Linked DNA regions of Bombyx mori. Each later gene encodes a partner of the first gene's protein in a complex. Links are inferred from orthologs where the notes say so. Each region holds a gene or a part of one and is shown in the gene's direction. Other genes may lie near its edges.

What was found. Proteins that work in one complex are often made in the same cells at the same time.
Region 2: the proteins of NEDD8-activating enzyme E1 catalytic subunit (region 1) and NEDD8-activating enzyme E1 regulatory subunit are in contact, whole or in part, in a crystal structure (PDB 3DBR), measured with the Homo sapiens proteins. The link is inferred for Bombyx mori from reciprocal best matches to the Homo sapiens genes UBA3 and NAE1. Residues at the interface, in NP_003959.3 of Homo sapiens: Trp34, Glu35, Gly36, Arg37, Trp38, Asn39, His40, Lys43, Phe44, Glu46, Arg47, Ser48, Gly49, Pro50, Phe51, Thr52, Phe56, Glu83, Lys86, Asn87, Leu90, Ser91, Val106, Ser107, Leu109, Asn110, Arg111, Phe113, Leu114, Arg116; in NP_003896.1 of Homo sapiens: Glu10, Gln11, Lys12, Tyr13, Asp14, Arg15, Gln16, Leu17, Arg18, Leu19, Trp20, Asp22, Glu44, Lys47, Asn48, Leu51, Pro52, Gly67, Glu68, Ala70, Gly71, Asn72, Asn73, Phe74, Phe75, Gln77, Arg78, Ile81, Phe92, Glu95.

What each region holds. Positions count from the first base shown.
Region 1 is NC_085115.1:7,048,256-7,052,265, forward strand, and holds the start of NEDD8-activating enzyme E1 catalytic subunit, read left to right. Parts: upstream 1-1,198; 5' UTR 1,199-1,342; intron 1,343-1,429; exon of another isoform or gene 1,430-1,991; intron 1,992-2,219; 5' UTR 2,220-2,224; coding exon 2,225-2,559; intron 2,560-3,772; coding exon 3,773-3,933; intron 3,934-4,010. Other genes in the region: uncharacterized protein LOC101738796, read right to left, coding at 1-114. UniProt on the Homo sapiens protein: Catalytic subunit of the dimeric UBA3-NAE1 E1 enzyme. E1 activates NEDD8 by first adenylating its C-terminal glycine residue with ATP, thereafter linking this residue to the side chain of the catalytic cysteine, yielding a NEDD8-UBA3 thioester and free AMP.
Region 2 is NC_085124.1:7,692,891-7,696,810, reverse strand, and holds NEDD8-activating enzyme E1 regulatory subunit, read left to right. Parts: upstream 1-1,412; 5' UTR 1,413-1,633; coding exon 1,634-3,241; 3' UTR 3,242-3,412; downstream 3,413-3,920. Other genes in the region: transmembrane protein 185B, read right to left, coding at 176-352, 439-488; N-alpha-acetyltransferase 30, read right to left, coding at 3,832-3,920. UniProt on the Homo sapiens protein: Regulatory subunit of the dimeric UBA3-NAE1 E1 enzyme. E1 activates NEDD8 by first adenylating its C-terminal glycine residue with ATP, thereafter linking this residue to the side chain of the catalytic cysteine, yielding a NEDD8-UBA3 thioester and free AMP.

The sequences.
Region 1 (4,010 bases):
TAAGGCATAGTCTGGGAGTTCATTTTCTTCATTGGTTTGTCCATTGCCTCTATTGTTTGATTTGCTTTTATCTTCTTTTCCCTTTGATTTTGTATTCACTTTGTTACCAGCCATGTTACACCTAACAATTACAATTTAATGACTTTATCACAAGACATTTACAAAGGTAAGTTTGATTTGATAGCAACATAAATATGAACTGTTATAAAATACTGTAGGTACCAACAGTATATTTCGTGTGATACTGATCAGTTTTACGGAAATCACCAATGTGATATTTATTTCAATTATGCACTGAACTCACTGAATTTAAAATGATATGTTTGACAACAGATATTTTTCCTTCATCTTTATATCCGCATGGTTATATTGCAAGCAACACTCGACTTCAAAATGTTCGCAGTCTCTCCCTCAATTTTAGAGGATATTTCGCGGTTTGTGGTCACAAATCTTATTCCAATAAATATTCTAAATACTGCAGATACCGAAACCAGTGCTGAAAGGTTTCAACTTACCCTAAAAACCTCACTACCGCTAACTTGAAAATTGAAGACCTGCGACAAATTCACATCCATCACGCCTCCATTTTCAACAAATGAATGGCACCAATAGAACGTAATCAGGTTTGAATGATTCGACTATAGAATGTAAATTTTTGAACGTAGATTTATTTTTACATAGGTAATTACCTAACTAGTTTGGAGTTTTCATGAGAGAATAAAATTGATCAACATGCTTTTTTTTTAAATATTTTTGTTGATTGGTTTTGTGTCTATTTTCTTTGATTAGCTGATATTAATGTCTCTAGTTGCTCTTTGCAGACAGAGTATGCAATTTATTGGTATTCAGAATTGAGCGTATACCGCTTGAAATAACTAATTTATGGCTTTCGAAGATTGGTAATAGTTTATTTGGATGTGTATAGGTATATCCGATATAACAAGGAAGTTAACTACATACTAATTAAAACCCATTATTTTAAATGCATAAAATCGTGAATCCCGTGTGTATGTGTATTAAATTATGTTTAAAAGTATTTTAAGCCCTAATTCTGGAATCTAGTATATTTGCATTTTCTTTTACTTTATTAATAAAAGTAAAGTTTAATACCTCTATTGAATACCAACATATTACCTAACCATTTGAATTTGTTGGAGTGGACTGATCTTTTACCACAAAAACAGTGCTACCATAAGTAGACAGTACGCGTGAGCTTCGAGGTCCCTATACCCTTCTCTATTTAGTATGAGAAAAAAAGCGCTTGTCACCGGCCATCTAAATATTATATCTGCATAAATCCAAATTTGATCACGTTATTATAGTTCAGTGATTTATCTTGGAGGTAAAGAATATTAATCTATTTAAAAACTCCTTTGAGTTTGGATGTCAACATTTGGGTATTTAAAAAGTCAGTAGTAATACTTAATTCTGATTCATGATTCATTCATTACACTGTGATTTACTCGCGATAGTTATTTTCAGTGACTCGCAATAGTCGATGTGACATATGTTCATCGACTAAATTATAGGCACGATGCCTTTCGCCTTAAGTTGCGATTTATAAATGAAGGAATACTTCCGCAGTAACTTTTTCTTTATTACGTTTTAAAATTTTAATCGTTTTTTTTTATGTTTCGATATTTGACGAGAAGCTTCATGGATTAAAATCTATTTACCGGCCCAATTGGCCAAATCAATTAAATTATTAGTGTTTTCAATGAACTTTAAACCTTCAACACATGTAGCACAGATATGTATTAACTGGCGAAATACTATTACTACTATTACTTATTGTACTACATGGTATACTCTTTGGTCTATGAAAATAAGGCGATTAGGATTTATAAATATTTAACCGCAAAGTTAAAAAAATTAACAGAAAAAGTACACCTACCTACCTACTACATACATACCTCTTCTAGGTAGGTATCATACTTATTGCCATAATTATATTTATTTATTGCACTAAAACTTATTGGAAATAGAAATAGGTACGTACATAATTATAGTATTTTGAAAGAATACTAAATCATTAATTACAAATCTATATAAAAATAATAAAATGAAAGTAATAAATACATCTCTTATTGCTAATTATTGAATATTCGTTTTGATTAGCTGCATATTACTGAAGTACACACAAGTGTGGTTTAAAAGAATAATATCTCAGTTCTTTCAATGTGTATGTATTTAAATAGTGTAATGTATTTATTTTTCAGTCATAATGACTTCAGAATCTCAAACGGCTGATTATCAAAATAGGAGATGGCAACATATAAGGAAGCTGCTGGAAAGATCTGGTCCTTTCTGCCATCCAGATTTTGAAGCTTCAGCAGAAATTCTAAATTTCATCATGAACTGTTGTAAAGTTCTCATTGTTGGGGCAGGTGGTCTTGGTTGTGAATTATTGAAAGATTTAGCCTTAATGGGCTTCAAAAAGTTACATATTGTAGATATGGATACAATAGAACTATCAAATTTAAACCGGCAATTTTTGTTCAGAAGAAATGATATTGGCCTACCTAAAGCTAAATGTGCTGTGGAATTTGTCAATAAAAGGTAAAAATGTAATTGTGATGAGTAGAGTTAGTGTTTAATTGAATGTTATCAATGTACAGTAATTATTATTTACATTATTAAATAAATACATAAAGTTACACACTTGCAAATAGTAGGGGTCCCTGAAGTAATTATCTATTATCCCATTATGATAATTGTTACGTTTTCTATATGAACGTTCATCATTTTGTGAAATCTTGATAAAAAGGATGAATAATGGGGGAAGTCTATACACGATGTAGGAGGCGATGGATGTATGAATTCAAAAGTAAGGATTCCCTGACAGGAAGTAGATTTTCAACATTTTCCGAAATAAGTGGTTACATAAACTAGACTGAAGTGCATCCAAAGTAGTGAAAACAGTGTTAGTACTTTTATTCCCATGTCATAAATCTTACCTTTGATTTTAATATTCTGAAACACGTAAATTTTATTATATTGCTCTTGATAGTGTTACATTTAAATTGTTGATTGATTGATGTTGATTGTTGTTGCTTCCCGAAGCAAGGCCAGGGCGGGTCGCTAGTCTATACTAGAACTGTAATTTATTATTGATTATCAAAATAAGTTGGCAGATTTCTTTCCTACTTACTTGACACTTATCATTATATTTTTGTAATTCACACTATATCTTTATAAATTATTATAGTCAATGTCAACTATATTATTGTAAAGTTTCATCAAAATCCATCAAGTAGTTTTTCGGTGGAAGAGTAACAAACATACATTCTTACAAACTTTCCGTTTGTAATATTAGTAGGATCTGTGTTATATATTTTTATTAACATCTCCAGTAAAGCATTGATGATGGCACAAACATTATACAATATTTATCTCCTAAGCAAACCAAGTTTGTGGTTTCAATTCCTATTTGGCATTTTTGAACATGCATTTTTAAGCTAAGACAGACACCCCCAGCCACACCACACTGTGGGCACTGTGCTTCAGCTGGTTTTTTTTCCATTATTGAGACAATTTATCTGGTATTTGATATCATTTAAAATGAAATTAAATATATTTGCCAATATATTTTTTTCTTAAATTGTAATCATCATACACTTCTTCTTCTTCTTCTTCTCAGTCATGTCACTCTTGACAGAGTGGTCGTGATCGTCATGTAGTGTTACTCTTATTTTACTTAAAATGACAGTTGTTGTAATTTTTGTTGAATAAATTTTGTTGTTTTGAACTTTGGTATTTCTTTTCATTACAGAGTTCCTGGGTGTGAAGCTGTAGCTCACCACTGTGCCATTCAGGACCTTGATGAAGATTTTTATAGACAATTTCACATTGTTGTTTGTGGGCTTGACTCAATTATTGCTCGGAGATGGCTTAATGGAATGCTGGTATCCTTGTTGCAGTACAATGATGACAGTAATAGTTTATTTTCTTAAAGTTCTTGGTAGTAGCTAGTGTTTTATTTACTGGCAGAGTGTGTATCTTGAGCCTAG
Region 2 (3,920 bases), on another chromosome or scaffold:
AATGAAAAGTATACTATTAACAGGATGGTTGTACTTATCTATGCACAAATATGTTTAATACATTACATTAAAGTCAACAATCATCTTAACTAGCTTGATTAAGTTTGTGACAAACTTTGATTTACCTTGATTAATTTAGCGTTTTTTCAAATTTATGGATGAAATTTAGTGTTACCTGAAGTGAGGATACTGCCACCACACATAAGTCCCAATAGTGGCCCCGAGCACGACAAGAAATTTCCAAATCCATATTGGAGTAAATACTGCCCAATATGACCATGTTATGGTTTTATCTAACTTCAGCGCTAATAATGCAGTAAATATTAGAAGACAAGTGTGAATGACGAATTTGCTGTAACAAACAATTGTGCAATTAACATAGAACGAAAATCACCTTCACTTTGACTCGATTAATTATGTGAGCAACATAAAAACTACCTGGGGTTAAAGTCTTGAAATAATGTCTGTAAATTCATTTCAAAACACATTCGTATAGCTTATAATAATTATAAACATTTCATAAAGAAACAAGGTTCGAAAGGTTTAAATCCTAATTTTCTTTATCCAATAACAACACTTTTGTTTTATTAAATGGAATTAATTTCAATTTTGCTTCTTGAAGTTTTGACGTTTGCAATTTGAAGCTTTTGTCAACACACATAATCAAACTAAAAGATTTTTTTTTCGTTCCCGAGACATGCAAAGAGAACAAAGCCATACATCAAACTATTTCGTAGTCCAAAGTCATAGCCATAAGACTTAATAATATATAATATACATAATATGTTCGTAACTAAAGGGCGACTAATATGGTTATTATGACTGTTTTGACGAAATGTGACTGTAAAACGAATAAAAAAAAAAAGAAAATTGAGAGTTAGAAGTCGTCGTGGCTCAAGTACAATATGGCAGAATAATGAAAGTAATTAAAACCAAAATAATAAACAAGGTGTCCTAAAATTCGACGTCTAACTGGAAAGTTTGTAGGCAGTGGCTTGGCTTTGCCCCTGGCATTGCTGACGTCCATGAGTGACGGTGACCACTTATCATCAGGTGGGCTGTATGCTCGTCTGCCTACAAAGGCAATAAAAAAAGAAAAAAAGTGAAAATGGTAAAAATTAAGATATTATAACTATATGCATATTTTAAATTCATTTCAAGGTAGAATCTACAAAATATGCCGCAAAAAAAGCTACCTAATTTTGTTGGGAAGCCATTATAGAAACTAGCAAGTGAGATAATTTTATCAATTTATTATATCATCAAGTTTGTCTTATAGGTGGAACAATTTAGTACCTAAGTCATTTCACTTTACTCAATTTCAGATAATCACACATCATACGACTTCGGCTCTAATGTGACTGTGTAAGATGTGTAAGATAAGGCTGTATGGTATGATACCTCTTTCTTTCTTGCATTATACAAACGACTTTTACTTATTCTAGCCCAATTGACATTTCGTCATGTCAGTAACCAACCATGAAATGTACCAAAATTATGCAAAACTAACGTTCAAATTCAGCCAATTTCGACTAGGTTTTGTGTAACTGATCACTGCATTTATAAATTTCATAATAATAAAAATCGGTTTTAATCTCAAAAGTAAACCTTTTGCTTATTGACGTTTTATATTATGGCGTCTCCATCTCCTAAATCACCAGAACAAAGCGAGAAGAATAAACAGTACGACCGGCAACTTCGTTTGTGGGGTGATCACGGACAAAGTGCTCTTGAAAGCGGACACATATGTTTAATTAATGCTACTGCCTTGGGTACTGAAATATTGAAATCGATAGTTCTTCCAGGAATTGGTGCAATTACTATAGTTGATGATTGCACAGTTAGTGATGAAGATATAGGCAGTAATTTCTTTTTGGAAATGTCTAGCAAAGGTCTTAACAGAGGATCCGAAGCGTTAAGGCTTGTTTTAGAATTAAATCCAGCAGTACAAGGTCATGCAGTCCAAGAACCACCTGACCAGATACTTGATGAGAACCCAGACTTTTTTAAATCATTCAGTTTAGTGATAGCTACTACAATAAGTGAAAAAGTAACGCAAAGTTTATCTCAACACCTGTGGGATATAAATGTTCCTTTTATACTTTGCCAATCAGTTGGATTCTTAGGGTCTTTAAGAATTCAGATTCGGGAACATGCTGTTACTGAAACTCATCCTGATAATGAACAAACAGATCTGCGCCTAGATGAACCATTTATGTCATTGTTAGAACATCTGGAAAGTATTGATATTGATGCTCTTGATTTGAAAGATCATGGTCACATTCCTTGGATTATAATTCTTTATAAAGCTGTTCAAAAGTGGAAAATTAACAATAACAATAAATGGCCTGTAACGCGAAATGATAAAGAAGATATAAAAAATATAATAAGGGATTTCATTAGAAAAGATGAAAATGGAATACCAATTAATGAAGAGAATTTTGAGGAAGCAATAAGAGCTGTTAACACTGCTTTGATGCCTACATTTTTGCCTAAGAATATCTCAAAACTTATGTATAATAGTGCTGCCACAAATTTAACTAAGGATAGTTCATCATTTTGGATTATGTGCTCTGCCTTAAGAGCATTTGTTGAGGCTGAAGGGAAGGGAAAACTTCCAGTGAAAGGAATCTTACCTGATATGACGGCCTCTACAGAACATTATGTAAAACTTCAAAACATTTACAAGATGCAAGCTGCAAATGATGCAGAAATAGTCTATAGAAAAGTTCGACAGATAGTCACTCAATTGCATTGTGATAGTATTAGTGAGGCAGATGTTAAACTATTCTGCAGACATGCTCATGATTTATATTTGGTGAAGGGGTCTTGTGTGGCAACAGAACTTCAACTGGGAAATTCTGTTGCATCCTATATAGCCACATATTTAGAGGAGCCAGATGTCATGATGGTTCACTATATTATGCTTCGGGCAGCTGGTATGTTTAGATCAGAGCACTGCCGAGCTCCCGGTGATTGGGAACCAGAAGGTGACATTGCTAAGCTAAAAACTTGTGTAAATAAACTTTTAGGTGATATATCTTGTTCTCCATTTCCTAAAGATGATCATATCCACGAAATGTGTCGCTATGGGGGAGCCGAGATACATAGTGTGTCTGCCTTTTTAGGTGGATGTGTTGCACATGAAGCCATTAAAATTATAACCAAGCAATATAAACCTGTAAATAATACATTTATTTATGATGGAGCTTCTACAAATACGGCAACATTTGAATTCTAAATTCTTATAGCTGCTGGATACCATTTTATTACTAGCAAATAAAACCAATAAATATTCTATTGGTTTTACTACCTATCCCAGTCCAAAAAAAATACATTTTCAAATTGGAGTACCTATGTTTTTTAAGCTTGTTGATAAGGTATAGATAAAAAAGACATCATTTAAAACTTTTTAATTGTGTTTTGAATCGATCTGTTTTATTACAGAATTTTTTAGAAATCTAAGATTCATCTTTAAACTTGAAAAAAATAACATCAATAGAGGGAAATCATAAACAAAATTAGAGACTAAAAAAATTTTTCAATTTGTGTTTTTAAATTTTCGATTGTTTTCATTATTTTTGTTACAATAGATTTTATCATTAAACAGTATTTGAGAAAAAAAATTATAATAAATTACATACAATGTATCACATGATTTTGAATTAAAATGAGAAATAAACACTACATTTGGCTAGATCCACATAGATGGCAATATGTTGCACAATAGATAAGAATATAAACAGTAGTATTTTATGTATATACTCAATACTGCATATTGCAAGTTATTTAAACACAAAATTGAGAAATCTCATCGGTTAGCTACTTATTTCACCTTAGCCACAACTTCAACCGCAATGCATCAACACCATTAAGATAATATCGAAATAGGCGTTTATCCCTTACGAAACCCAAGTTTT